Lepisosteus oculatus: one gene and its partners. The protein of the gene in region 1 purifies or fractionates together with the protein of each later gene. This does not show direct contact. Links are inferred from orthologs where the notes say so. Each region holds a gene or a part of one and is shown in the gene's direction. Other genes may lie near its edges. The genes, in order: vdac1, bcap31, bsg and rab2a.

Evidence for each region.
Region 2: the proteins of vdac1 (region 1) and bcap31 purify together in Homo sapiens (affinity purification with western blotting; 3 studies listed by BioGRID, with this or other methods). This does not show direct contact. The link is inferred for Lepisosteus oculatus from reciprocal best matches to the Homo sapiens genes VDAC1 and BCAP31.
Region 3: the proteins of vdac1 (region 1) and bsg purify together in Homo sapiens (affinity purification with mass spectrometry; 3 studies listed by BioGRID, with this or other methods). This does not show direct contact. The link is inferred for Lepisosteus oculatus from reciprocal best matches to the Homo sapiens genes VDAC1 and BSG.
Region 4: the proteins of vdac1 (region 1) and rab2a purify together in Homo sapiens (affinity purification with mass spectrometry; 3 studies listed by BioGRID and IntAct, with this or other methods). This does not show direct contact. The link is inferred for Lepisosteus oculatus from reciprocal best matches to the Homo sapiens genes VDAC1 and RAB2A.

The regions. Positions count from the first base shown.
Region 1 is NC_090706.1:24,044,388-24,051,901, forward strand, and holds the start of vdac1 (non-selective voltage-gated ion channel VDAC1), read left to right. Parts: upstream 1-4,436; 5' UTR 4,437-4,542; intron 4,543-7,514. UniProt on the Homo sapiens protein: Non-selective voltage-gated ion channel that mediates the transport of anions and cations through the mitochondrion outer membrane and plasma membrane.
Region 2 is NC_090697.1:76,379,723-76,387,242, reverse strand, and holds the start of bcap31 (B-cell receptor-associated protein 31), read left to right. Parts: upstream 1-4,482; 5' UTR 4,483-4,684; intron 4,685-4,896; exon of another isoform or gene 4,897-4,995; intron 4,996-6,383; exon of another isoform or gene 6,384-6,459; intron 6,460-6,664; 5' UTR 6,665-6,688; coding exon 6,689-6,780; intron 6,781-7,498; coding exon 7,499-7,520. UniProt on the Homo sapiens protein: Functions as a chaperone protein. Is one of the most abundant endoplasmic reticulum (ER) proteins.
Region 3 is NC_090724.1:7,646,302-7,653,610, forward strand, and holds the start of bsg (basigin), read left to right. Parts: upstream 1-4,233; 5' UTR 4,234-4,363; coding exon 4,364-4,451; intron 4,452-4,538; exon of another isoform or gene 4,539-4,760; coding exon of another isoform or gene 4,761-4,842; intron 4,843-7,309.
Region 4 is NC_090701.1:50,091,907-50,099,877, forward strand, and holds the start of rab2a (ras-related protein Rab-2A), read left to right. Parts: upstream 1-4,961; 5' UTR 4,962-5,119; coding exon 5,120-5,165; intron 5,166-7,971.

The DNA.
Region 1 (7,514 bases):
TTACTATGTTTAAAATAGGAAAGCAAACTATTACTGGTGATAGGAACATCTAATTGTAGAAAACAGTATTTCCACATGTTATTTTGTAGCATAACATATTCCCAAAAAGAATGCAATATTAAAAAATTCTAAGAATATAAGAACAACTAAAATAATACAGTAATCATGTATTAGTAAGACAAAAATATAATTTAACAAATATATTTATATAGCATAAAAATCAAATATCTATAATACTACATTACAGTTTAATCCTTTAAAGAAATTTCAAAGCATAGAATTTTATTAAAAACAATCCTTTATTATGTTTTATAACATGAATACAAATGTATAATTTATCTGTCCATCTGTTGCTTCTGTTTTATTGTATGATTTCTCATTGTGCAGGCAATATCTTAAAATGTGTGCTCATTTGATGATCATTGTTTCTGACTTTGATATGGTATGCCTTGATGTTTGCCTAGTTTTCATTGGCCTGACAGGATATATTTAGACCTTATAATGAAATACTTTAATCACGCAGTAATCATATTTATAAAATTATTACATTAGTCATAGGCAATTAATACATCTATTAAAATTTACATTTTTTTAAAAGTGCAATAATTGTTCTACATTTTCTAATCAAGAATCTAGAGCTCGCAACTGGATTCACTCGTGTTTTTTCAGTAACACAAAAGTTATACAATGGAAAAGAACATACACTTGTGTTTCAGTAGTAATTAAATGTGTTAAAGACAAAAATGCAATGATAATCGTATTAACACAAATCTGTGTCAGAACAGACAAATCACAAAATTGTTTCTTGTTTCAACGTTTTGCGTAAACTTAATGTATTTCTAAGTACTTCATGCTTTGCAAAACACACTCTAAGAGCAATGTGTTTATCAATTAAAGCACACATTTTCTAGTATTAAATCTAGCGAACTTTCGAATTAAAAATTTGGAAAATAAAGGAAACCTAATTCTCTATTAATGTCTTAAGTGCTAATCCTCTCACTTGTGTTTTGATTTTTAAAATGTATTTTTATGATAACTAGCAAGAAGCACAAACAAGAAGCCATGTTTCCAAAAGTATTTGTAAGTAAGTAATGTAGAAAGAAAGCCGTTACAAATGTTCTGTAAACCAGATAAAATTCAAGCTTGTCTGTGTAAATATCCTTCGGATCTGTGCAATTAAAACAAGCTCAACGTAAATCGACAAATTGATTGATTTGATAACTTATCTGATCATTGTAATATAATATTCAAAGAAAGACTAATATTTATAAACTAATTTCACGCGCTAGTAAATGTAAAGGAAAAACAAGAACGTATTGCTTCCAAGAGCATTAATCTGCTTCGAGCGCCATCTTGTGACACATTGAGTTCAATACAGTACCTTTAGTTTTTTTCACGTTACAGGACGTGACTTATCTTTCCTTTTGTTTTCTTTTTTCCTTGTTATTCATGTGATGAGTTCTTTATCCACTTCTGAATGTTATCATCCAGTTTTCTTTAAATATAGTAAAAGTGGGTCTTGGCACTCAGTGATAAGAATATTGTTAGTTGCATGAGATGTAGTATATTAAAGGAAGTCAGGGGTTTGGCTTTCTTCCAGATATTCTATGCTTACCACATCCCTGCTATTTTGTCAAAACATGTTGCATTTAACGAAAAAGTAAAAAAATATTCGTGTAACGCAGTTCTTCTGAGACAATAGAGGTGGTGTTTTACATATTTTAACAGATTATGAATAAAAATAATTCTGATAAAGAAAAATGAAACTTGATAAATCCGGTGATGGCAATACTAAGAATGAAGAGAATATGATGATGATAATGATGGAAGTCAAGAAGAAGAGGAGTGAAGGGAACAATAAAAAGAAGCCATAGAACAAAACTATTGACTTGTTTCTTATATTAAATATCACAAACAAATGTTGAGTTTCATTTCCCACTTTATTATTATAAATATACTAAAATACAGATATCCTTAAGAAATAAATCCAGTGTAAAACTCACACGGTTTGTATAAATATACATATTCTAATTCATGCCACAGCTAAAAAAATGCTTATAAAAACAATAAAGAGTTTTTTCTATTTCAGTGCAAACAATGCTCAATTTTAACATTTTAGGCTAGCTTATTAGCGTTGCAAAATGAAATCTGAGTGAAAATAGTGATTAAGCTATGGTTTTTCCTTTTCCAGTTACATTCAGAAGGTGGGAAGGAAGTTGTGTTGAAAGCACACAAAACAGAGGTTTTAAAATCACCATACAGTGTGGACAGCAAGAGTAAAAATGGGTGTTGAGGACTGAGGATAAAAATTACATGTGACACTGAGTTAATCAGAAGAAATGATTAACTCAATGCATTTTAAATAACTTATTTTAAATAAGTTTCCTTAGCAGTCATCTTAAAACTGATATAGTGCAAAGCAAGAAAAACAAAAGTAAGCAACGAGTCCATTTTACTTTTATTATAAATTCACAACATGTACACCCAAACATTTTCTAACTGCCTCTTCCTATTATGGATCATGGGGAAGTCAGAGTTTATCCCAGCAAGCAATGGGCACAATGTAGGGTACACCCTGGGTGTGATGTACCAGCCCACCACAGGACATACACACAAACACACTCACTCAGAGTCAGTTTGACAAAGAAGCCAATTAACCTACCAGTATGTCTTTGGACTGTGTGAGGAAACCCAGAAGAATTTGGGGAGAACAAACAAACTCTCTACAGAGAAGGTCCAAGGTCCAAGGTCTGGAATCGAACCCAGGGCCCCAGCACTGTGAGGCAGTAGTGCTAATGACTGCATGACTATGCCACCCTGGATGCACATCAGCGTTTTTAAAATGTTTTACACAAATTTTGTAAAGGTTTTCTGTTTGAAGATACACTGTATAGTAAATTGACACTGTTGCTGTCACTCAGCTAATGACTGCACACATGATGTAAAAGCCTACGATGGTGAAGCCAACTTCTAAAAGCAATTACCATATTACCATTTTTGATTCTCACCAGGATTTCCAGTCACATGAATAAACCAAAATGCTCGTACAGAAGAAGACTATCACAGAAAAGGGAGAGACCATAATTACAAAAAAATATCATTACAAAATGTTATAAAGATTTGATTATAGACTTGTGACAGAAAATAGTTTTTATATACATTTATTTTCTAAAATACCAATTAAAACATTTATGCCATTGCACAGCTCCAACCAAACACGCTGTCCTACCTCTAGGTAACACCCTTGGACAAAATTGTCACTGAAGTAATGATGCATCGCTGAGACCCAGAGTTCCTTGTTAGGAACGAAGAACACCTGGCAGGTATATAAGTGTGTTTTTAAAGAAACTGAAATATTTAACAGTCTATGAAAAGCAGTTGAAATTAATATAATAAAAATATCTTCATTCAAAATTGTACTAAAAAATATCAACTTCACTGTTAAATTCCACTATTAGAGCAAAGACATACACAGTTACCTGTTGAAAGACTAAGTTTCAATATCTGAAATAAAAGGTAACTGTGATTGAAAATCCTGAAATCTTAAAATTAATTACACACAGGTCTCGTCTGGTATGTTAAAGATTGTCTTATAAATCATATTAATAGTATTTATTATATAAATATATACATAATATTAACATAGCCCAAGGCTGCACCTCACCAGATAAAAAAATCAAGAACTACAAGTTTATCATTTGTAGCAGTGGTGACACCACATAAGATTTTTGAAGTTAGACATATTTATACTAAACTATTTAAGTACATGTAGTTTACATAAACTATATATTCTATTCCTGGTTACCATATTATCTGTCGAACTGAGAACTTTGTTCTATTACAATAGGATTGTTGTAAATAGTTCAAGTAGGTAGCTGCATCAGCATGCGGAAACTGCAAAGGAACAACTAAAGGTGTATTCCATACTGAAAAGAGAAGAAAAGAAACAGAACCTTTAGGCACACACATGAAGAAGGCTCCACAGCCGAAACGTTGTGTTTCTTTTCTCCTCTTTTCAGCATGGATTACATCTTTACTTGTTCCTTTGTATTAAACAGATTATTGCATCCGTGAGCACAGAATTTGAAAGAAAATTGAATTAACAGCTGCTATTCATTAATAACTAAAAGTTACGTTTTGAACACTTCGAACATATAAAAAATACAACATCAGGGTTTTCTAAGAAATCAGCGTGTATATAATCTGGTACAAAAACTCAACAGCATGCCCTGTTATCAGTAAAGTCTGTTATTCTTGCAAGCCACAAGCGTGCTCTCATGTTGCTAGAACATATTTTACTTTCTGCACGTATGGCTATAATGTTGAATATTATTATATTGGTGTAATTCTTTTTGTTGTGTCACATGGTTTACAAAGATATAGCCATCTGCCTCCCATGCACTCTGAGCCGGAGGCGTGTCTTCACAATGCGCGTCTGCGTATCTATGCTTCAAGCCAAAGACGGAAGCGCCTCCCCTTTCTCCTCCTGATGTTCGACTGACGAGGGTTGGATCCCAACAGGATCAGACAGCACTAGTTAAGGTATGTCGAAATTTAATCCAGAAAGGCCATTTATGTACCGCGACGATGGCTTGGTATCTACTGGATACCGACCTTGAAGGAACATAAATAATATCGCTTGCAAACGTGCAAAACCTGCCGGAAAAAAGCGTTGCTCACAAGATGCTGATGCTGCACTGCAGATAAGTAGATCGTTTGTGCGTGCCAGGCCTCGGAATGGTAGTAAGGCTTAGATAATTCCTGTGATCAGGCTGGTGGTCAGCAATAATTTGAAGCGTCATTGCAACAATGATAGTATATTTAGCTTTTCAGTTTGTGCACAAATGCGTTGAGATTGATAGAAATAAGGTCGAGTAACTCACGCTTATATCTAAATGCTCTTGAAGCAGAAATACTGTATATCCGTATGTCTGTCAAAGCACCATTTGTAAATCATTATTTAATGTGTGTTTTTATTGCTGAAAAATGTATAATAGAATAAAACGTGACACCTTCTAGTGAAAAAAATGCATTATTACGGAAGTTTGTTTTGAAAGCATGTGAATCTTGGCCCTCAAAGTGACACTTCGTTTAATGTACAGCATTAATCGCAGTCGGTAGTCCGAACATCATTTTATAATCACTTCAAGCATTGCTTCGTCGGTTTTACTAAGTAGCATACAATGGTTGGTTAACTTACGTCTCTGTAAAAGTAGAATAAGTTATTTATGTACACCGTGCATAAAAACAAAAACGTGACTTTTGAATCTGAAGTCGATTATGTGAAGTGTCATCTTCAAAGTGAGCACCGGTTGGTCTGAGACGGTGATATGTGTCGGGCCTGTTCTTCGTGTCTCGCTCGCTCGGCTGGATGGTACAGCAGGTGACCTCTATTCAGCATTGAGAAGGTTGTGCACACATTGCATCCATCACAGACTGGTTTGGAAAGGACAGTTGCACAGCTTTAGAAATGGAGAATCAAAGGGCAATTTGCTGCTCAGAAACCATCATTTGGCATTTCAGACTTGTGGCTTTTTATATATTGCTGTACTTTCATTGAGCCTTAATGAGATAAAAAACAGATGAAGGGTGAGATAACTTTCATGTACTGTGTTTTACTCTCATCATGGTGTTTTTATTTAAGTGATATTGTGAATTTTGTACTTCTAAAACATTGTAAAATTTCAAGGATATTGTGTGTTGGTTTCTTAACTAAAACCTCTTGGAGGATATGTGTAGGTCTGCTATGAAGAGGAAGAATCTATATGGAATATATAGAATATTTCACATCACACTGCAGTTGATTTGCCGTCCACTTCATTTAATAGAGTTTTAAGCATGCCAATGGACTCGTTTTAGAGTCAGTACTGGGGTGTACAAAATGCATCAATAATTGGTTCTGTCTTCTTTTGAAGTTTGTATCCTGTCCCTAATGAGCAAAACTTAATTCCGTTGCAGTTTTACTACTTTGTAGTAATCTCAGAAGAGATCACTTCTTGTGACAAGATACAAGAGATGTACCTTGTAAGATCTTAGAAGCTAAGCATGGTTAGGCCTGATCAGTACTGAGATGGGAGGTATCTGGGGAAAACAAGATGGTCGCTGTAAGTGGTTTTGGTGGATCATTAGGTGGCACTCTTCTTTCTGAACCAGAATTTCCTTTCAAACCAATGCCCCAGTATGGTCACGGGGCACTGTGGTGTAGGAGATGCTTTCAAAAGAATGTGTCCTTTGGATAACACATTAAACGAATAAGAGAATGAGTGTTAATTCCAGTGTCCTGGAGAAATTCCACTTTGGGCTTGCACATTCTGACCTCCTGGCTTAACTTCTCCTGTAGTTTTAATTGATTAAATAATTATCTTCCTCATCTTAGCTGCTGTGTTGTGGGGCTGTAGGTGTAGAGTGGCGTCTGTATATCACCCAGGTCTACATATCAGTTAATCCTATATGTGTGATACTTTGAGATCTGTTGGGATGGGAAGTGTTATTCAGCTGGAAAAAGTTATTTTCTTATTATTGTTTCTGTATTTTAAGAACAAATTTCCTGTTGTTCTTTCCTTTTGAAATGAATCGACTTCTTTCCCTTTCCATTTTTTTCACTCTCCAGCAGTTTTAGGACTCGTGAGATATTGTCCTTTATGTGTGTTTTCCTTTGGGTTGTGCAGGTTTTCCTTGGAAGACAAGAGCATTAGAATGATGCCAGAAAAAATACAAAACTGAAACTATCACAGTAAAGAGCTGGAAAAAGTGTTTGAAATATCCATATTTTTATATTGATTAGTTTATATAGCTGTTAGTCTGTTACAACACAAAAGTGTTGTAAAAGTGTAAAAATCTGTCCTTCGGATGAGACGTAAAACCGAGGTCCTGACTCTCTGTGGTCATTAAAAATCCCAGGGCGTTTCTAAAAAAGAGTAGGGGTGTAACCCCGGCGTCCTGGCCAAATTTCCCATTGGCCCTTACCAATCATGGCCTCCTAATAATCCCCATCTATGAATTGGCTTCATTACTCTGCTCTCCTCCCCACTGATAGCTGATGGGTGGTGAGCCTTCTGGGGCACTATGGCTGCCATTGCATCATCCAGGTGGATGCTGCACATTGGTGGTGGTGGTGGAGGGGAGTCCCCATTACCTGTAAAGCGCTTTGAGTGGAGTGTCCAGAAAAGTGCTATATAAGTGTAAGCAATGATTAATTATTATTAAAAGAGTGCGTCAATGTGGTTCTGTCAGCAATAGATCATGATGATATTTAAAAATGTGATTCCTAATAAAAAAATCAGCATGGTTTTTAGATATCAAAGTGAGAGAGCTGTTTGAAGCTTCCAAATCATTTCAGCAGGCAGGGTCGCTATTGGCTTTGATTTAGACTACTGGTATAAACCACAGGCTTTCCGTACTAGTGTAGCTTGGGCTTCATTTAAAGAATGCTGAATGGCATAACTATCTTTGTTTTGCAAGCCTTGTTAAATTCTAGATGCCTTTTGGGTTATCTTATCTTTGAGGTATTTCAG
Region 2 (7,520 bases), on another chromosome or scaffold:
AAACTCCAGCTGATATCCAAAAGGTCGTCTCTGAAATATCCACGTGTACTGGACAATGTATGACAGGGAGGGTATGTCGGTTCTGCCTAAATTTTATTGCTCTTTCTAAGCAACTACTGCATTCACAATAGCTAAAACGGACAGGTCAGGGGTTCAGGGGTTGCAAGTGTGCAATGGAAGGGCCAGTTGTGTGTTTTTCACATCTCCACTTCAAAAACGGTCAACTGGGACAGTTTCCATCTGGCTTCCAAACTGTCAAGCGCTGTGGCGTGCTCCTTGTGGAAGTGGCGTGGTACTGTCTCTTTTGTCAGGGTTTGTATGACTCCAGAACAGCAGAAGGGTTGTAAAAGACAGGAGGCCGTTTTAGCTTGAACTACTGGTTTGGCCTCACCCAGCCGCTCCTCGAATGGCCCTGCCTTTAATGCCTTAGCCTGGCGGTTGGTTCCAGGAGCAGAGGGGAAATTCAGCGTGAAGACGTGCCACCTGTTCTCTGTCCTGAAGGCAGGCCCAGTGCATGCGATTTGTTTTTGTATCTGGTTCAAATCCCCCAGCGATCTCCTTTATTCAGAACTAAAGAGAGGTGGTTGCTCTAACCTGTCTGTCGTGCTATACCACTGGCACCAGCTGCGTCACGGACAGTATGAGGCAAGAGCAGGTGTTGCACTTCTGCATCTCTGTTAGTGGAGAATGCACTTTGCCCACTCGACAGTGTTATGGGTCAACGAAACAGCTGTCGCTTTTGTAAAGCTATGGAGTGAACATGGGTGTCTCGAGTGTATGTTTTTAATAATAATGTCTTATAATCTGAACAAATCAACAAAGAACAGTTTTGCTGCCTAAACCATTTCGAAGTCACCTGTGCAAAATCTTTATTGTAAAACCTAGCTCTCATTTCAAACACTCCGGACCTGAACTCCCCAGGTGAACTTTTCTAGCAGGCTTGGAGATGGTGGGCTAAGTGCTCTGGCTGGAATGACCTTTATGCTGATGTACAAATTCTGGAGAAAAAAAAAAATCATCACCAGTAATGTTCAGCATTGTAAAGCACTCCAAAAATACCTTTTCTGGCTCTCATTTCTATGTATTGATGTGTTGTATCTGCTCCTCCAAGAACGAGAGAGAGAGCAAAGACGTTTGACCACAGCTCTAGTCTTGTGGTTTGGGTACATACAGCTACAGCGTTGTAAGAATAGTTCTTGTATTTTTCTGAAGTTTTATACTAAAAAAAATCCATACATGATAATACAATACAATACATACAATGATAAGTTAATACTTATGTCTTAACTATTAAAACAGCGCTAGTACCTCAGACCGATGCTTTCCAGTGTACCGCAGTGTTTCGTAGTGAAGTAGCTTTTTACAGACGCTCACATGTAATTGGCCAATTTGACCAGCAGAGGTCTCTGTTTTACTACATTCGTTCCTATACACTAAAGGCCATTTTCGTTTGGGTGTTACTGAATAACTTAAATTACTTTGGATTTAATAATAATAATAATAATTGCTTACACTTATATAGCACTTTTTTCTGGACACTCCACTCAAAGAGCTTTACAGGTAATGGGGATCCCCTCCACCTCCACCAGTGTGCAGCCCCACCTGGATGATGTGACAGCAGCCATAGTGCGCCAGTCCTCTCCCCACACAGCAGCTCTCAGAGAGCAGAGTAACGAAGCCAGTTCAGAGAGGGGGGTTATTAGGAGGCCATGATTGGTAAGGGCCAATGGGAAATTTGGCTAGAATGCTGGGGTAACACCCCTACTCTTTTCGAGAGACACTCTGGGATTTTTAATGACCACAGAGAGTCAGAACCTCGGTGTTATATCTCATCCAAAGGATGGTGCCTGTTTACAGTACAGTGTCCCCATCACTATACTAGGGCATTAGGACCCACATGGACCACAGGGTGAGCGCCCCCTGCTGACCCCACTAACACCTCTTCCAGCAGCAGCCTTAGTTTTTCCCAGGAGTCTCCCATCCAGGTACTGACCAGGCTCACACCTGCTGAGCTTCAGTGGGCTGCCAGTTGTGAGCTGCAGATATGGCTGCTGGCTGATTTGACTTGGAGACACGTGTTCTGCTGACAGTTGCATGCACACAGCTCTCCAGACTATAAGCTGCACAAACATGTGATGCACGAGGGAGAAACATATATTTTCAATACACTACTATCACAGTTTCTGATGCCATTTTAAGAAAAGTGATCTATATACTATGTATATATTTACACAAAATTAACTGTTCAATACTCTTCTAGTCAAATTATATTTTTTACTTAAGAGGGTATACAACCGAAATTACGTCGTCAACACAAATTAGTTTTAAAATTATATTTTTCTAACTATTTTATTAACTCTATATTATTAAACTCAAACGCAATGCAAGACCATTGTTTTTGTCCACTGGATTTCACCTCTGTTCTATTGTACTTAGCAATTTTGCAAAGATGTGTTTCTTTATGCAAACTTACTCAGTTCAGGTACAAAAAAATAACACAGCACAAAATTCGTCAGATAAATTCTTTGCTTTTGTGGATGCTTATTCAAACAGACACTGTTTTGCAGATTTTGTTGAAGGAAGATTGTTTTACTTGGTGAACCAACACAGGGTTTACTATGTCTGTTACAAATGGCATCATGGTTAAAAGACATTTAACCTTCAGTTTCCCTGACTGTGTCTGGGTAGTGGCCTCTCCTCATTTTTCAAATGACTGGCTTGGAAGAGCTGTGACAGAGCAGCCTTCTAATCATTTATATTTAACATTAATATATATATTTTATTCTGTAACCTGTATATTTGTAGAGCCCAGTGAACACATTTTGTAGCTGCCAGTATTTAATCCTAGACTGAATAAGCAACTTTTAGAAAAGTATTTTAAGTGAATCCTTGAATATTTATTGACTAGGGTCACTTGACATTTCCAGAATGCTGGCCTGTTTTGCAAGGTTTGCAGTATTAGGTCTCTTTAGTGGTGCTTGCAATTTTACTGACAGTATTTGTCTCTGATTTGTCCTTATCTGTTTATGTCAAGACTTGGAACTGTTTCTGGAGTGAAGGAAACAGCTGTTCTGTAACTGTTATCATTATTGTTAAATTGTTTTTTTTTTCTGTATTGCTGAATGTAGTTAGACCTCAGTGCTTCTGTCAGATCACTGGGATGCAAACATAATGTATGCTTTACTGACACACAGAGACTTTAAAACCCTTTTCAGAACTTGCATTTGAAGGAGTCTTGTAAGAAAGCCTTTAATAAAAAAACAGCTTGTTGTGTCAAACATGTTTTGTGTAATATGTTTATCAGATTTTCTACCCCTGTTACATCTTAGCAAAGGGAAGGCAATTTCTATCAAGGTGACAAAGTATCACAATCCTGGCCAGAGGACGAGGAGGCTGGGACCCCCTGCGGACTGAGGGGGGCCCAGGGGCGGCTGCAGGGGGAGGTGGGGAGCAGGAGGGGTGCAGGAGGCGTGTGTGAGGGAGAGGGGGGGACCTCGTCCGGTCTTTATAGTGCTTCAGGAGAGGAAATGACATCACGAGTGACTGCTAATTACTGACAGCTGAGTCTGATTGTACTGGGCTGTTGTCATCCATCCCAAACTTTCGTTGTGAACTCCATTCATTAAATTAGTCTGTGCAGCACAGGTGTGGCTCCTTTTCTGTTCAGTTGTATGGATAGTATATTTTCTGCTTTGTCAACCTTTTCTCTGTGTTTTTCTGCCTCCTATCTGGAATGTACAGGGTGAATTAATCCTTTCAAGAGTCATTTACCCTAATTCAGTGCTTATATGAAGGAGTACTCTCTCAGTGGTGCCTACCAAGAAAATCTTCTTTCATCCATGCGATGTAAATTATTGTCCAGGAAAAGATCATTTGTTCCAAACCCCTGAATAATCCTTATTTTTTATAATCCCTCTCATCACTTACGTCATTTTGCTGTTCTCCCGTCATTCACCGTGGGCTATTAAAGCAATGCTCCTGGCAAGAGCACTTTGTGTTCTCTGAAGCGCTGGTTTCCTAATTCTAATGTTCTCAAGTACAGCACGTACACATGATAAACGTCAGGTGATGATTTCAGATCCTCACAACTCTGTGCGTTTCATTAGAAAAAAAAAACTTGAGCCGCACCTGCAAACATCCTGCAGGATCAGAATTCCGTATCCTGTAGAAATATTTGTTTTTTCTCTTCGGTAAATTTTAGGATCCCTAAAACAGACCGTCAAGATAAATGTATGGTTCTTGTTGACAGCGTTGTATAACATCTGTAAGGGGCAGAACATACATAGGTGCGCATTCCAAAACACGTATGCACATACTAGAAATTAAGAAGTGAACCCCGAGAAGTGGAAATTAAGATTCCGCATTCTGTTTATACAGCTCTTCATTGCCACCATGAGGTGATACAGCAATACTACCATTCAATACAGTATTTTTATTTTTTGGCAGCTTGCCACGCCCCCTCGTTTTTCTCCTTCCGGGGTTATGTCGTGTCTCTGGCTTCTCCTTCCCGGGTCAGAGTTCAGTGTTTGCACTGTATGGTCTGTTGATGAGCTGGAGTTTGCAGACAGGACATTCCCGGAGCAAAACTGAGAACAGAGTATTTTGTATTACAATACAATAAGGACTCGACAACCTAAAAGCTCAACGGCGAAAACAACGAAAGCTCATTCATCAGTGGAGAAAGGTGAGTGTCACGGCAATGACTCTGCGTTTGTGAGTGATTTAATGATGAAACGATGGGAGTGAAGGTTTAAATTAGCTACGTCGCAATAAAATGTTTTGTGACGTTTAATCACCAAGCCACTTAACACTATAATTAATTATGCCTGTTTATGATTATAAAGCTTTTTAATTTAATCAGCTAAATTACTGATCTCATTGCATGTAATGTCGTCACTTACTGCTGACCAATCCGAAATGTCACATGAACGCATAAACGCAGTTCTCTAAAAAGGGCGTGGTGTGGTTGACTACCTTCATACTTCGAATACAAAAGTAAGATATTGAAACAGCTGTGTGCATTTTCATAATTTTAATATTTCACCACCAGTATCGTGATCCGAAGAGAAGAGTTCAGGAGGCGTGTTCGCTGTTATCAGTCGCGCAGTTTCGACAGTGCTCTGTGCTGCGGACTTCAGCCCGGAACTGTAGACTTGGCTCCTGACGGGATATATGTTCAGTGCCTGGAGTCGCTACCTTTCTCGCCCTGTGGGAACTGATACTTGGTTTCTATCGGTGCAAAACAGGTGCCCAGCCATTAGAAAAACAAAAGACAAACATCCACAATTTGCAGTTTCTCTTACAGTGTCGGAATATTAATACAATTTCATAGACGGCACAGACCTGTTTATGCAATAAGGCTAAAGAGGGATATTTATATATATATATGCGTTAGTGTAATTTAAAATTAGGGCGACAGCACCTGGGATTAGGGCGGATACTAACTAAGTTTAACGTCTCTATGCAAATATGTGAAAAGGGTGACCTGTTTGAAATAGGCAGCCCCTGATGAGGGTTAATTTGAAAGCCTGCTGCTAATGTTTGAAGCCAGCCATGGCGCTGTGGAAGGGGCGGGAGCTTTGGTGCGTATGTAGGGGGGTGGGGCTTATAATGTTACGTAGTCGGATTGGACAGCAGCGTAGGGGCGGGGTCTGTGGTGTGCGGTGGTTTGTTTTCCTGGGCTGAGTCTAGATCAAACTAAATCAAATCCAAGGTGCCCAGCATTTCATGATGTTGATATTAAGAAATCTGTAATGATAACAAAAACAACTCCCAGCTTCCAAATCACCCTGCACCTCACAACTGGCAGCCCCCTGAAGCTCAGCAGCTGTGAGCCTGGCCAGTACCTGGATGGGAGACCTCCTGGGAAAGCTCAGGCTTCTGCTGGAAGAGGTGTTAGTGGGACCAGTAGGTTGCGCTCACCTTACAGTCTCTGTGGGTCCTAATGCCCCAGTTAAAGACAGGGGCACTATACTGTAAAAAGGCCCAGATGAGACGTAAAACTGAGGTCCTGACTATGGTCATTAAAAATCCCAGGGAGTTTCTCGAAAAGACTAGGGATGTTATTCCAATGTCCTGGCCTTTACCAATCATGGCCTCCTAATAACCCCCATCTCTGATCTGGCTTCATCACTCTGCTCTCCTCCCCACTGAGAGCTGCTGTGTGGGGAGAAGACTGGAGCATCATCCAGGTGGGGCTGCACACTGGTGGGGATGGAGGGGATCCCCATTTCCTGTAAAGCGCTGTGAGTGGAGTGTCCAGAAAAGCGTTATATAAGTGTAAGAAATTACTATAAATTATTATGAGATTTCTTTAACAAGTGAACACCCTGTTTTCCTGTTCCGTGGCCTGACAGGAGATGGCGCCGTTGCACTGCTGTGGGCCTGAGACTGATCTCCTGTGGCAGTTGTGCTCAGTGGAGCTGGGTGTGAACAAGCCCATTACAATGCACCCCCACTGTGAGTTGTAGGCAGCAGTAATGAGCACCCTGGGCCCTGGTTTTCGCTAACGCCTTTTTAGCAACCCCAGAAAACAGGACGTGCTTTACAGCTGTGGCCCCAGCACCCTTCTTGATGGCTCCCTGTGGCGATCTGGCCTTCGCAGCACCTTGCCCCCGGCCCCCCCGTTCAAGGGTTGTGACGGTGCCTCTCGTGTCCCCCGCAGCGTGAGAGCCGACAGCCCGAGACGATGAGTCTGCAGTGGACGGCCGTCGCCACCTTCCTGTACGCGGAGGTCTTCGCCGTGCTGCTGCTCTGCGTGCCCTTCATCTCCCCGACCAGGTAACCCCCAGCTCGACCGCTGCGGACATCTTCCAGCAGGCCCAGCGGAAAAACACCCGAGAGCCCTTTCCTGCTGTGTGCTTGTGGACCGAAGGCCAGAGAATTGTCAGAAAGGACAGCAGCTCCCGAGCCTGTCCGGTCAGAGAGCGAGCAGGACTAAAGGACAGAGGAGCCAAATTCTGGGCAAGGGCGGACTGATTGTGCATCATCATTCGCTGTGAAAGCCTCTAGATGTTGTGCATCAGAATTAAGCGAGAGTGCTGAGCTGCGATTGAAAGGCTGTTAGAATGGAAACGGGTTGTGCATATTCATCTGAATTTAATGGTTGAATGTTTCCATGGTGGTTAAGGTGTTGTTCCTTGTTTGCCCACTTGCTCATATTGTGGACTTACTCCGTGCTTTCTGTCACTATACAGCTGTGGGGACTGAAGCAGTTGCCTTTGTGACTTTGTTAGAAAGTACAACACAAAAGGGAACCTATGTGGAACTGCCCCTTCCCTTTTCAGAACAGCTTTCAGTTTAAGAACCTGTGCATTGCTAGTGTTATGGGGCAGCTTGCTGCAGAACTCAGCTCTTCCCCTGGTGGGCCTTGTGCAGCTCTCATGTGCGTGCGTGTGTGTGTGTGAGAGAATGTGTGTGTGTGGGCGCACGTGTGTGCATGCTCAGAGTTGCATGCTGCAGCCAGTTCCTCACAGTCTTGTCTGTCTCCCTCTGGCAGATGGAATAAGATCTTCAAGTCT
Region 3 (7,309 bases), on another chromosome or scaffold:
AGCCACACTCCTACACTCATTTCTTCTTCTGAGTTGTCTGCTATATTCCAGGAAATCGGGTTCAGAACCTAAGTGTTTTTTTTTCCCTTTTTTAAGTTATTCTAAGTTAAGGAATCATTTTTTTTTAAAACCATAATAAAAAAAAATAAAATGAACTATCCGGGAATCATGAATGGTTTGGAGGGGAAGGGGAGGGGTATAGTGAAAAAATTAGGAAGTTCTCTTGTTTAATACTCTGCGCCCTGTCAAAGACACTTCGAGCAAAATTCAGCACAGTTTGCCAGTTCTTTAGAGCTAACCCAGGCCCTAGTCTCAGTCGTATGGCTCTGGCTTTGCTCTTGATAACCAACAATTATTTTGAGTACTGTCTGATCCGAATTTTCAGTTACAAGATCATTATTAAAATACGATCCTTTATGTTACTGCTCCTATGTATCCCGTGCCTTAATGTGCAAAAAATAAGGGAATGATGTGATCAGTTAACACCTAGGGAGGGAGCCCAGGAACCGAAAAGGGAGTTTACTTTTTCCAGAAAAACAAATGTATTACTAATTAACGAGATAAATAATGTATTATTAACACGATGAGTGTCAGGACATTTGTTAAAGTGGTGGATTTAACGTTATTACATTTTTATAAGTTCTATATTCTATGCAAAGTCAGGAAAAGTTCAACCTTCCTGTTATTCATTAAGAGCTACATGCACCTACAGGAGAGCCGACTGCTGAAGGAGCACTGATGTGATTGGAGCTATTTAAGGAAGCCGACCATTGTAATCTTCATCCTGTGCTTCTGTCGACAATGCACACAGTTTATTTCTTAGTGGAAAGAAATGAACTTTTAAAGCTTACTTTTAAAAACATTATTTTCCGGTTGTAAAATATGTTGGGGATTGTTTTCATTGTACTTTAAAGATGTTGTGTTCCAGAACAAAGTTAGTTTTAAACAAGCTGTTAGGATTTGACTTTTAAGTGGATGGATGAGCATTGGACAGGACATGATTTATAATAACTGCAGTGGGGAATAGAATATAGGAACAAGTAAAGGTTTATTTGATGCTAAAGAGAGAAGAAAGAAAACACAACGTTTCCGCTGTGGAGCCTTCTTTGGGTGTAAGAAAGATAGGGCAGTCGGCAAAGATCCAGGATATCTTATCAGCAAAAATAGAATATAGTAAGTACATCATTAGATTTTCAAGAATACTGAATCTGGAATTGCACTATATGCAGAAGACACCAGATGGCGATGGTGTCCCTTAACCAGTCAATTCCCAGTGCCTCTTCCTATTTGCTTCCTGGTCAGAAGACCTAACTTAAAATATTAAAATATTACACATTTTCTTCTTCTATAATAGTCTAAAGGTTCTTTGGAGGGAGTTTATGATAGATGCCTTTAAGATCTCTTGTCGATAAGAAAGTGAATTCATTTTTAAATGTGCTCGAAAAACTTGAAATGATCAAGGCATTTCACAAAGAGAAGAAAACTAGCGAGTTCTGTTTCTGAGTCTCTCCTCGGCGCCCAGTTGATGTTTTTGCGTGCTCTTGCATGAGTGACATGGCCTGTATTAATAACTGAATTGCTTTAACAGTGTAACCTACAAAGAGGCTCAGGGTGTAATTACCTTTAAGGCTGCAGCATTATGAGGTAAACCGGAATAGAGGAAACCTGGGGCAGGCGATAGCGACACAAGAAGCAGACCCCGTCTGCTTGACCCGTAAACCAACATGACCTAGAACAGCATTGTGTCGCACAGCCAAGAGCCAAAGTAATGCAGGCACAGCTTACAAACTGTACACCACAAAGAATCTGCAACTGTACTATGAAGCAGTAAAATAACATAAAGTCTGCATTGAATTTTTCATTATCGGTGGATTAAAGATCACTACACAGTACAATAGTGTTGCCTTTGGAACGGGGGAGGCAGACTGCCCTTTAGTTGGAAAGGAGGTGCATTATTCAGTGAAACAAAGATATTTGACCAAAATAGCAAATCCACCCCTCTTGACACCTCCCCTCCTCTTTCCACCCGTTCCTCGGTACCTAAAGCCTACGCCTCTTGCATTGCATTATAGGCAGAACGTAGACTTCCTTTGCAGACGTGTTAAAAGTAGAGGGGAGATGACACCCAGTCGTTACAATAGGCTCCTTTTACAAATACACACTGAGCTGATTCTCTTATCATTTCTCGAGGTGATCCGATTTCATTTCCTTTGTCTTTGTTCTTCCCTTGCAGATAACATTGAATTAGTTTAATTGGTCTGGTATCCCTTTGGGCTCTTTACCACAAGGGGCAGAAACCTAAAGGGAATAATGAGGGGGCTGCAGATTTCATTCCCACTCGATCCTGTAATTTTAATTGTTCCTAACGAGTTGCTGCGGGTAAGGATGTCCTGGCTGCTCTGAACGCGCCTGAGATGAATAGCGATGTGGATTCTGGAGTTTTTTTTTATTTATTTTGCAATTAACAGTGCAAGAAGAGCTTGAATCGGGGTTGGGCGCAGACTGTGGGAAAGCAGGGGTATGCTGGAGCAGCAGCACCTCAGAACAAACCAGTCGGCTGGCCCGTAAACTACAGCTGTAACGGGAAACAAAACCTGCTGGACAGAAAGAAAGGGCTTCAGGGGACGGCCACCATAAGAGAAGAGTCTCTAGGGGGTCAGTCAGTGTCTTGCCAGCACTGACACCACTGAACAGAGAGTCATGGCCAGCTGGGTTTCACCACTGCAGTACCACTGTAGGCGAGGAGTGAGCACAAATTAAGGGCAGAACGGTGGCTCTGTGGCTCAGGATCTGCGCCTGTGGCTGGAAAAGGAATCCTAGTCCGCTGGGCCCCTGAGCAAGGCCCTTAACCCCAGCTGCTCCAGGGGCACCGTATAAATGGCTGACCCTGCGCTCTGACCCCCAGCTTCTCTCCCTGTCTGTGTGTCTCATGGAGAGCAAGCTGGGGTATGTGAAAAGACAAATTCCTAATGCAAGAAATTGTATAGGGCCAATAAAGTGATCTTATCTCTTAAGAACCCCCCCCCGTGCCCCCATTTCTGAAGGTAAAGTGCTAACCTCCACCACATTTCCTTAACTTGGACGGCGGACGGGCTCCCAGTTTTTATCAGCTAATAATGGGACCCTGTATGAGAAACTCATAAACACTTCAATTTAACTTGTCACCTGAGCTGAAAAACTTTATTATTAAAGCTGATCCTGGCTATAAGAAATGAAAAGCACGTATCAGCTTTAATAATAGATTAAACAGATCTGCTCTGAATCTGATACAGGTCAGCAGATCCACCGTTAACAGATTCAGAGCAGATCTGTTGTTTTAGAATGCCGATTGTACTCACTACAGGATCAGATCTCGCATTTCGTTAGCTGAAATCGGCCGTTTCTCAATTTGAGAGCAGTTTGCCGTGGCTCAAAGAAACGGCAGGATCTCACGCTTCAAGACTGGAGTAGGTAAATTACTTGGGACACTCGGTTTGCTATTTATCATGCAATCGCGTGTTCGCGGAGCGAAAGTATCAGGAGTTCTTAATTTGGTCGTGATCCCGAAGCCGTCAGTCTAGTGCAAACAACGAGTTCACTCTCAAGGTCTAATATAACCAGAACAGCGATGTTGTAAAACCGTCCTGTTTCGCGTATGAATCCACCTCGTGAGATTTTAAGACGGAGAATATTCTTTCTCGTTAAACAATAGCAAGTTGGACTTTGAGTCACGTAGAACGATAATTTGGCTGTGCCGTGGTATTATCTCAGTAATCTTACTGTGCTTTGTAGTTTTATAGCTACTGAAGGTAGGTGCTAAACAGGGCTCGAAAGAGGGGTTTAGGAGATTTTTTTGGCGTTGAAATATATAAAACGCAATTCAGTTCATTGGAAGTTATGACATTCATATTCTACCAGTAACTTAAAATATTATTGAAACCACAGCTGTTCCTCGGGGCTTTAACATTGTTATTTTAAGAAGACAGGGGAGGCTGCACAAAGATTTCCTGGCTATGTGGTACGGGAATGCCTTAAATATGTACTTCGCCCGCGGAAATCGTATGTTTTTTCCTCCACCACTCCTATATTAAAAAAAAAAACAAAAAGATCCATTTGAAACACTTGGGTCCCGTCGTCTTCCGACACACGCCGCGGCTGCTGCTGCTCTCGGTCACGTAACCTCAACCCCGCCCACGCCGGGGCGTGACGCGCGCACGCGGCCGGAAATGGGCGGGTACGTGCGCGTGCACGGCGCGGCGCGTGACGAGGAACAAATAGAGGACGACGGAGGGGGCTCGAGCCAGTGCGAGGCAGAGGGCAGAGCCGGAGCCGTCCGTTGGTTCGAATTGATCCAGAGGCGCTTCGACTTTTAATTTGAGCCGTGATGGTTTGTGACAAAGCCCGTACGATGGCGGTGTTTTGTACAGCGGGTGTCCTGTTGGTGTTCTTGTACGGGGCCAGTGCCATGACAGGTAAGACGCTCGTCTGTTTTTCTCCTCCCCTCGTCGGTAGCCCTCCCTTTTTTTGTATAACAAACAAGAATGTCATGGGTTGACCGCGGTCAACAGAAATGGGTACAATGGTCCCCCTGTTTCTTTTTTCCCCCCATACTGTAGAAATATAAATGCGATGGTCAGGTCCACCGTGAAACGTTGGTGAACACAAGCCTATAATAATCTGTTGTTTTTTTTTGTCGGGTGAGCGTGAGGCGGCTCGGTAAACAGTGGCGGTAGCCGGTAAGAAAATGGCCGAGGTCGTGTTACAGCAGCCTTCAGGTCCAGATGACCCTCGGGCTCGAAAAGACTCTTTTTAATATCGACGTTTTTGAAAGCGTGCCTTTCCATAGAGGCGCGACGGAGGCACGTATGTCTGTTTTTTTTTTAAGATGGGGGGGGGGTTTGACTTGTTTTGTTTTCTTTCATGAGCTACGTTCTTTTGCGATGTTTACAGGTCATTTGTGTTTTTAATGGTGTGTTTTTTTAAACACGGCGTATAAACGTTATTCCCATGTAGGGATACGGTGATACGAGTAGGTGGGTAATTTGGCGTGTGGTGAACAATCTCTACGTATACGTCGGACATGTAATCGCTACGTATAGACACGTGAGATTTTAAAGCATGTTTCATTTTTTTGTTCGTTTTTAGTGTCCCTAAATGGTCAAACGTACCCCGATAGTCATTCGGGGTCGGTTCAAACTTTAGTTTAAGCAAATGTGTTTTACTTATGGCCTGTTACTGCGTAATGAGGGCGACATTGGGTGGTGCTCTTGGGAGGCAACGTGTTTTCGTAAGATAACGCAGGAGCGACCTTAATATAATTATTATTATTAGTATTAACGTATAAAATTCGTTTTGCAGTCAATATGGAAGCTAGATCGTAAAAAGTTTTAGAAAAGGTAGCTGTAATAATCTTCCTGTGTTAGTCGGAGAGGCCGTTGTAGAATTGTTAACACCACATGCTGCTTAATCCGCCGGATAAACCCAGTTTACCTCCCGTGCCTTCAGGAATTAGAAAAAAACGGTAAAACTTCTCACGAAACTTCCCGATGGGGTTTAAATCAGAACGACCTGTTTTTGGAATGTGTGGCGGCTTCATGTCGCTAATTTGATCGATCTTAAGAAGGAGCGTTTCAAACAGGCAAGGCCGATCTGTCGGGTTTATCGCCGCATCGATCACCGTCTTCCGATGTAGGGCTTTAGGAGCCCCGTTTCAGCATAACAATGGATTAGGCGGTGTTCAGTACGCCTGCGATATGTTCGTTTAAATTTAGCACAGTTAAAGGGCGAGAAAAGAGCCATTTAAGGAAAGAGCAGGTTTAGCTATTTGTAGGTGCCTCACCTGAAATATGCTATTGAGTTTCAGGATGTATTTTTTGCATCCAGCAGAGGAGACAACTAAAATGCTTTGCTTCCGTGCTTGATATTCACATTAAGCATTTACAACTGCGGTCTGCCGTTTTCCTTTCCTGTTGCTTGGAGAGATGTGAAGGAGCGCTGATGCAGTCTGACGTTGAGCTGGAGCCAGGTGATGTCAACTGAAAATCCCTTGTTCTTAGGCAGCTGGAAGCACTGTCTTGGCCTCCAGGATGGTGGAGAGGCATGTGATTAGTTAAATCTCATTATCTGCTATTATTCCAACACTTGTGATGCCGAAGGTCCGTGACTGAAAGGGCCGTACTGAGTTTGTAAGCAGGAAGCCACAAGCTGTGTCAGTAACTGGTCACGAGGGGAATTTAATTTTAACTGGGTAAAAACTAATTGAGGCCCACTCATAGGGGTTTGACTACTGTAGAGTTGTGTAACATAGTCAAGGATACAAAAGTAATTTGGGCCACTATAGTCTGTTAAGGAGGTAGAGGCTTGGTACATATCTTTCAGTTTATACCCATACGTCTCTGGTGTACTGTGCATAGCAAGGCCTGATGGGTCTGAGAACCTATCTGTTCTTGAATGAAGCCATGCCCAGCTATTGTTCACCAGCAGTGTGGCTGCATCTTTTTCCATACTAAAGCAGTCATTGCAAGATGACAGGGTGCTCGGTATTGTGCTAAGGAGGCGTCATGAATATGACCAAGAAAGCCGTCACAGTTAAATTGAACAGGGACAGTTATACATTCACAAACCGTGTTTTCGGAAAGTTGTGGGAATGTAAATTATTTAAATGGTGTTTTGAAATTGTGGCTTGCACTGTCCACATCAGGTTCTGTTTGTGTAGAGCAAGCAATGAAAAATTGTTCAGTTAAAAGGGTAAGGAGTGAGACCTTGTGTTGAATTTACCAGTTTTTGCAGTGGGTTTTATTCACGTTATGCCTAAAGCATTATATAAGAGAAGATTTCTTGGCATACGGTTTATGTAAAATGTAGAATATTCTTCTTGGGAATTGTTTTCTAGAACAGTGGAGTTACTGTGCTGTTACTAGGTAAATCGTTTTCTGCTCGTTATGCAATGACAAGTGCTTTTGGTTGCTGTCTGCCAATAATACCGAGGGATACAACAGTCCCAGAGCTGAACTTTTCCTATAATGGCAGTGTCAGTTCATAAGTAAAATTAGCTTTCACTGTAGCACTGTGTGGCTGTAGTCTAACTGGGATTTTAAACATGGGGTTATTAGTCTCTTGTGTCCTCCCATTTATGAAATGCTATGGAAGTGTTACTTTTTATTGCATTTCTTTTCACCAAAAAAACAGATTGCAATGGGCACAATAATACATTCAAGCTCCCATATTGTAGTTTTATACTATAGCATTTATATAGTATGTTACTGGTGTAAAGAAAAACAATTGGCTCTTCATCACTTGTGGGGCTCCTTTTTAAATGTTAAGTGACTGT
Region 4 (7,971 bases), on another chromosome or scaffold:
AATACAACAGCAAGAATGCTTTTAAAAGCAAAAGCAAATTTTGTGTTTTATGCAATGTTATCCGTGTAAGCCCCTTAAATAACACAATCTATACAATAAAAAAGGCTACAATACTCGCAAAATCCTTTAGGGAGAAAGAAGCACCACCACCTTAAACTGAAATTGTATTTGATTGCAAAGTAGAAAAAAAAACTATTATCCCTGCATTCACTTCAAAATGTCTGCCCAGTCAACAATCTCAAATTACAAATCCCAGTTTTCATGACAGCTGTTAGTTTGCTAGAGGTGTCTTCCTTGGAACGGAAGCACTGGATTTTTCAGTTGTAATCTATATTTCCTGATTGATAGATGCATCGAAGTTTGTTAAGACCTGGGTTTCAGCCCAAAAAACATAACACAAATCCAGCATTACTGTGTATGTTGTATACATAGTCTACTTCATTCTGAAAATTCCCCAATTTCTATTTCTGGATGTGTTAGTTGAAGATTAGTGTCCTTCTTCTGTTAACAGCCAGTGGCAGACATTTTGAAAACTGCCCCAACACTTTCATCTCAATTAACACAAAACATTCTTTATCTCTTAGTTCAACCCAACATGGAACAACACATTTGAGTTACATTTACGTCCATATTTAACGACTTAAATGATTTTAACACATCAAAAGTCTCTTCTTCTGAATATACAGTATCCAAAATATGAGAAATAGATAACTGTTATATGGTTTGGTTATCATACCTCTTCTTTTCCTTTTCTGTTTCCTCTTATACCTACTTCTTTACTTTCCTTTTAACTTTACAAGTCCTTTCATCTTACAAATCTTCCTTTTATGTTTCGCTTACCTTCCTGTATTTTCTCATTCCTCTACTAACCCACAGCTTAAGGTTAAGAGAGGAAGTCCTCTGAAGGCTTTCTCTGATACCATTTGCATTTTATAGCTTTGGAATTTTCTCTTAGTCCTGGAACGTGGAATACATTTGTGTTTTTTTCTCACACATGCAGACTGGTTCTGTATTTCCTGCTATTTTGGTCCCTGCAAAATGTGACCCAGAATTCTATTTTTGGTCTCTGATTATCTGTGATTACAGACATTACAAAATATACTATAGAAACAGAAATACATACAAATATACATGTACATTCCCAATCAACACAATCTTTTTAAGGCACTAAGAAATTCCATTATTTTTAATACAGCTGAACTCTGTGATCATGGATTCAGTTCCGGGTCGTGTCACTAGCCAACTATAATAATAATAATTGCTTACACTTATATAGCGCTTTTCTTGATACATAACTCAAAGCACTTTACGGATAATGGGTACTCTCCTCCACCACCACCTATGTCCAGTCCCGCCTGGATGATGCAACGGCAGCCATAGTGCGCCAGAACACTCACCACACACTGAGGAGAACAGAGTGATGAAGCCAGTTCATAGATGGGGATTTTGGTTATACCCCTACTCTTTTCAAGAAACGCCCTGGGATTTTTAATGACCACAGAGAGTCAGGACCTCAGTTTTAAGTCTCATCCGAAGGACAGCGCCTTTTTACAGTATAGTTTCCCCGTCACTATACTGGGGCATTAAGACCCACGTAGACCACAGAGTAAGCGCCCCCTGCTGGCCCCACTAACACCTCTTCCAGAAGCAACCTTAGGTTTTCCCAGGAGGTCTCTCATCCAGGTAAGATAAGATAAGATCACTTTATTAGCCATATACAATTTCCTGCGTTAGGAATTTGTCTTTTCACATACCCCAGCTTGCTCTCCATAAGATACAGACAGGGAGAGAGAAGCTTGGGGTCAGATTGTATAGCACCCCTATAGCACCTGGGGTTAAGGGCCTTGTTCAGGGGCCCAATGGAGTTAGATTCCTCTGCCGGTTGCAGGATTTGAACCGGCAACCTTCCAGCCACAGGTGCAGATCCTTAGCCACAGTGCCAGCACTCCGCCTGGCTGGCAGGTACTGACCAGGCTCACACCTGCTGAGCTTCAGTGGGCTGCCAGATGTGAGTTGCAGGGTGATATGGCTGCTGGCATATACAGAGTAATACAGAGCAATACAGTAAATAGAGTAATACACAGTGATACAGAGAATACGGGGAATTCAGTGTCGTTGTGCAGGTGACTTACTTCATTACCTGATGGAGTCTCAGGGACAGGTGTCATCAATGACAGGGCAATGGCTTCCTCCTCTGGGTTTGTGAAGAGAAAGGTTGTGGCGTCAATGGCCTTTCCCACTACTTTAAGCGCTGCTGGGACAGGTGCCAAGCCAATCCCCTTTCCGTCCCCTTCACTCCTCATGACTGCCCCAGCCCAGACTGTGTTTGCTGACTCCATCACATTAGGCTTACGCTTCTGGTTGACCTTATTGGCTGTCACTCTGTCTCTTGCTGTAACTGGGATTCTGCAATGCAAGATGCACAAGGAGCTGTGTGACCATGACAGTAGGGTGAGATTAGCTGGCCAGGACTTTTTCGGCTTTCTACTGTTGATGAGGAATGGAACTGTAACGAAAGCATTCTTCCAGGACCCTATGCAGACGACACAATCCGGGAAATCCAGGTCTCTCTGGTGACCAATGGCAGGGTTAAGAGCTTCAAGCCAAGACGAGAAAAATGAAAAAAAAACAGACAAATTAGAAAGTCTAGTAGAGATCCTCATGAAAGAGAACTGAGATTCAGGGAAAGAGGAATAGTACAGACAGCCATGATCAACACCACAGAAGGATACAGCTAAAGGTGTATCCTGTGAGAACACCAAGGTAGCCCACGGGTGAGGAGAAGTCATGGCGAAACAGCTGGTGCTACACTGATCGCAATGGCATGCAATATAAAAAAAGCAGCCCGCATGATAGGCGAGTTGTGCAGAGACTCAGTGCAAACTCCAACAGCCAGAACTACAATGACAGGGATTAGCTACAGCCCTGGCAGGCAGGACATGGGCTGCATTGGGCAAGAGGGTGGGAAAAAGAGCGTGCTGGGATGCTTTTTCGGATAGACATGGTCCCCAGCCACAATCAATGAGTGGTGCCCAAGTCGGGATCACACTCCAGTTGCCTTAATTGAAGACTCCAAAGATCCCAAGTAGTGGCGGTTTTAGGTTGCGGCCAAAATGGGATAATCAGCTATTGAGGGTGTCTGGGAAGTTGCAGCACCCAGAAAAATGCTGTATGGGGATGGAGGTCCGAGGAAACTTATTTTTAGGGAGAAATGATTGGCATGGATTATCTCCTACACCATAAAAGGCTAAGCCCAGATTTTGCAACCTGATGTGGTGTATTATTTCATCTAAAATCAGGTTGAAAACAAGAACTACCCACTGCTCCTTTTATAGTGAGACAGGCTTAGGGAATAATGTGTGCCATGACATGATATTGTGCCTGGCAAGCTTGATTAGAGGTTTTACATCCGTGTGTGCCATGCTCTCAGTATTTTTGAACTGAGATAAACAAATGTGAGGCACTTGATCAGTTTGTGCTAAGTTCCCGAGAACATGGCAGGACAGGATAAGCTAGTATAGTCTGAGAACTAGTGGAGAATCAGAGGCATAGTCAAATTGTGTCTGAATTTGGGGTGATAAAAGGCTTTTCAGCAATGCAGTTGGGTAAACTGCTTAACAAAGTTTCTCCCCGGTTTGAACATTTGAATACCAAATCTGACCACTGTTGTTTATTACTTCTATTAAATTTTGTTTAGATTATTTAGTTACATTTATGTGTGAAACCATTTATCTCCTGCTCAAACGCTTTGTGTCTGGTTCAAAACCCAAATAAATCCTAACTTACATCTTTAGATAAGATAAGATACATGTTCTGGATGTGTTTACCATTTTTTCTAGAAGCACAGCTCAAAGTGCCAGGACTCTGATTTCTCATATATCCAGAATGAAACACACATTCTGAAGTCATCTCACAATCACAGGCATAGGTCCTTAAATTTCATAAATTGCACTCATATACACCTTCCCTGCAAGTAAAGTGAAATTAAAGTGAATATTAAAAAAATAATTAATATTCAGGGCACTGGAACAGGTAATCGTTTCACCCCAGAAGCTGAATAGGTTTCAGCACTAGCTTTTTCTACAGAATCTCACACTGTGGAGCTGTAAATCTCACCCTTAAGGAGTCAGCCTGTGAAAATTCTTTAAAAGTTAGAAGCATTTGATCAAATATCACAGAATTATTTTTACTCAGTAGAAATGAAGAATTTTATAGAACTTATAGCACAACAGTAAATGTATATTATCATGACAGCATGACAAAATCCTGTGACTTCTTTAATTCACTAATACTGTCAAAGCTGTGCAATCATTAATGTTACCAGTATAGTTTCTAATATCATACTTTATTTTAAGTTTTTGTGGAAGCAGGCAGTTTTTTTTTCCATTGGGCACTTCCAAATGAACTTTTGGAAGTTTGCAGAGACTACAAACTTTAAAACGTCTTGTTTGTGAAGTACATGCAGACTTCATCCCTAACATCACGAATTCTTTTCTTACACATTTCAGCATTTTTTGCTGAACACCTTTCCAACCTTGAACAGGGCAAAAAGTAAAGTTTTAAAACCTGCGTGCCTTTTTTGGTATGTCTAAACTCTCTGTAATAGGTGAATTATTCCAATACTCAAGCATTGCCAAATTAATTTCAACAACAAGGCACATGATAAATACATCTTGTATTTCGAATAGGATTTTTGTGTGTTGTACCTTTGGCATACGCGATGTCAGTAACAAAGCGGGTAAGTATGTAGAATTAAACAAAAAAGCAGTGAAACAGATTCTCAGCGCACTAGCGCCGGCACGGCTACAGAGACAGCAGACAGTCGGCGCTCGTCTTAACATACGGGTTCGGGCGCAGCAATGTCAGCACTTCCGGGCGCAGCAATGTGAGCGTGTTCTGCGTGCGTGGCGAAGGCGGAACGTGTGACGTGGGCAGCCCGGAGCTCGGAGGTGTTTATTGTTCCTTCTGGTCGCCGAAGAGAAAGAGGCTGGTGAAGCGGAGTGAGACTGAGAGAAAGCACAGGCTTTTTCCCCGCCACTTCCTCTCTCCACAGCTTGAACGAGTAACACAGCGAGGGAGCAAAGCACAAGACCCGGGCAGAAACAGCATCCCAGCGGCCATGGCATACGCGTATCTCTTCAAATACATCATTATCGGAGACACGGGTGAGCAGCCGCTGTGTGACGGCGTAGGAAAAGAGAGAGAGAGACATTTACGTCTCTCTCTTATTTCCGCAGTGTTGGAGTCAATGACGTGGTAAAAGCACAGGAACGCTAGGGTGGGAGGGCTGCTTAGTTTCTTCCCCCCCCGTTAAAATAACTGATCTAAGGTGACATAATTGCCATTTGGCAGGTGAATTGACAGCAGCCGCCTCGGCACCGGCCTGCTTGTGTCTTTCCATTGCGATTGCGGCGAGGGTGGAGGGGAGGTGGGGGCTAATTGCATTGCAAACACCAAATAACCCTTTCCCCGAAAATGGCTCCGGCGAAGACGGACCCGTGTAGCAAGATGCGCCGGCCCTCTCTGGGGGGCTAGACGGGCAACTGTTGGACGAGTCCGCCCGCAGATCGCCGGCTGCCCGTCGTCGTGTTAACGTCTGCAGGGGAAGGAAATGTTTTCGCTTTGGGGGGGAAAATGGCGTTTTCAGCGGTTTTGCAGACTGTCAGCCTTCGGGTTGACTCTGCTTTTCGGTTATGTAAATCATCGGCGACAGGTTTTTTTTGTAGGCCTAGGTGGTGATGGGGGGGTTATATTTGTGCATGCCAGCTCACCTGCAACACACTGTTCCACCTGCGGGGAATAAATAGTATAATCGGAGGTTGGAGGAAAATAATAAAAAAACTGGCCTTGCAGTTCTCCTAGCTGTCAGGGGAGCTCCGTGGGTTGTTTCGCATATGCTGGCTTGACAAAAGTCCGGGCCTTCGCTAGACCCTGGTCATTTCGTGATAAAGATGCCCTTTCATCTTTTGGGTTGCTTAGGCGGTGTGCGACACCTTGACCGGGTTTCAGCCTTCTTCAGCTATATTTCTGTTAGCTGAAACGGGGAGGAAAGCCCGTGTTAGTTTGCTCTCTTGTTCGTTGTGAAACCCTCTCTTAACGCACTTACCATCTCAGCATCACAGGTTATAACATACTTTCCTAGATGGCATCCGACTAATTTAAACCTACAGATCCGCTTCAAAAATAATCTTCGCATATGTCATCCCCTGCAAATCAACGTTTTGCGAATTTGCTTAAAATATAGATACAAAACTATTCTTTATAGACATGGACGTTATTATCTGGAAATAAGGAAAGAACGTTTTTTAAGAATGTATTTATTTTATAGACTGGCACATAGGAAGATTGAAGTAAAACTTGCGCACAGCCTGTTATCCTCACCATGTCCTAAATGAATTAATTCAGTACTAATTTTGCCACTTGGTAGAATAAGTTTTAAGTGACTTAGAATAGTATTATATTTAATTATTTAATCATTTACTTTATACATCAGTGAGCTGCATTCCTGGTGGCAGTACGTGTGGTTATGATGTTGGTTTATTAATCGGTTATAAACTCTTTATCATACCAGTCAAAATAGTAATGTCCAGGTCAGTATTTGCAGAATTTTGATTTAACTGCTACCCTTTGCACAACAATATAAATGCAGGTTTCATACATTACCAATATAAATGTTGTCTTTAATTTTGCTGTAGATTTTAAAATTATTTTTCCCAGAGTCCTGAGAAGTTATCGGATTGTGTTTCTCACAAGATGTACATGTGAAGTAATTAGCTGCTGTGGTCTCAAACTTTGGTTTATGAAGTAAACTCACATACAAGTGTCCCCTGCTCAATCCAACAACGCCACTTATTTTTCACACATGGCTAAACCCAGGTCTTCAACGAAATGTTATTGCCTGTCATAGCACCCTCTTTCCTAGTCTTATTTTTCTGTGTTTGCTGAGAAGTACCAAAGTTGTGCCTCACAGTTAAATGTTATTGAGTCATTTAAATGGCCTAACCTCAAAATGGTAACTGCAGACATTGACACAAGGCCTGTGTCAGCAAGGCTGAATTGGTACAGCTCCCTAATACTTATTTTATAATGCAATGGTTCAGATGTTGCATGTGATATTGCACAGAGGGTAGAAATGTGGTGGGTGTACTGTGTACTGCAGTTCAAAGCTCATGCAATGTGGAATATCCATCTGGGACTGCACTCCAGCAAGGGTGTGGAGAGCTGGTGCGCTCCTGTTGCTCAGTGTCTTCCATAGTAACCGGCAGAAAGGATTTGACTTAGCGCATGTCCTCCAGGTTTCCCTGCAGGGCATTCCATGCCCTTAACGAGGGCGGTGTGCTGAAGAAAGGGCTGGTAACGCATGCTGCTGTGCATCTGTATTTAAAGGCAAATGATCCTGGTAGAATTCTGGAGCCAGTAGTAGTCTTTGATCAGTGCAATGACCAACTTTAAGTCTCTCTTGGGTTGGAACGTGTCTGCCAGACTGGCAGACAAGCCTTTGCAGTGAGTCTCGTTTACTTCTTGGCTGTAATGGGAGAAGTAGTGCAAGCTCTGTGGGACAGCGTGTGTTTTAAAGGATGTGGCGTGTAATATTTTAGAGGAGGAAGAGACGACCGTGAAACTGAAGCTCGGTGGTGACTGTCTTGGATCCAGAGGAGGAGAGGGAGGAGGAATGAGAGGCAGAGCGACAGAGAATCGGACAAGATGAGGACGCAGGCAGAGAAAGGAAAATGTAGTTTTGATTTGTTTTAGAAAAGTTAAATCTAGATTTAAGACTGAAGTCCTGAGGTCATGCCCTTTGCCAATTCGATATTCATTAGAAAAAGTTTCAGTAGTCTCTCTTTTCTTTAAAAAACTCTTTCAATAGGCTTTAAAATACTGTTTCAAGAAATGAGCTTGAATACTTTAAAAAAAAGAGGCCGAACATTTTCACAAGTTCAGCTCATGTTTCATCACGCGCTGCTTCCAGAC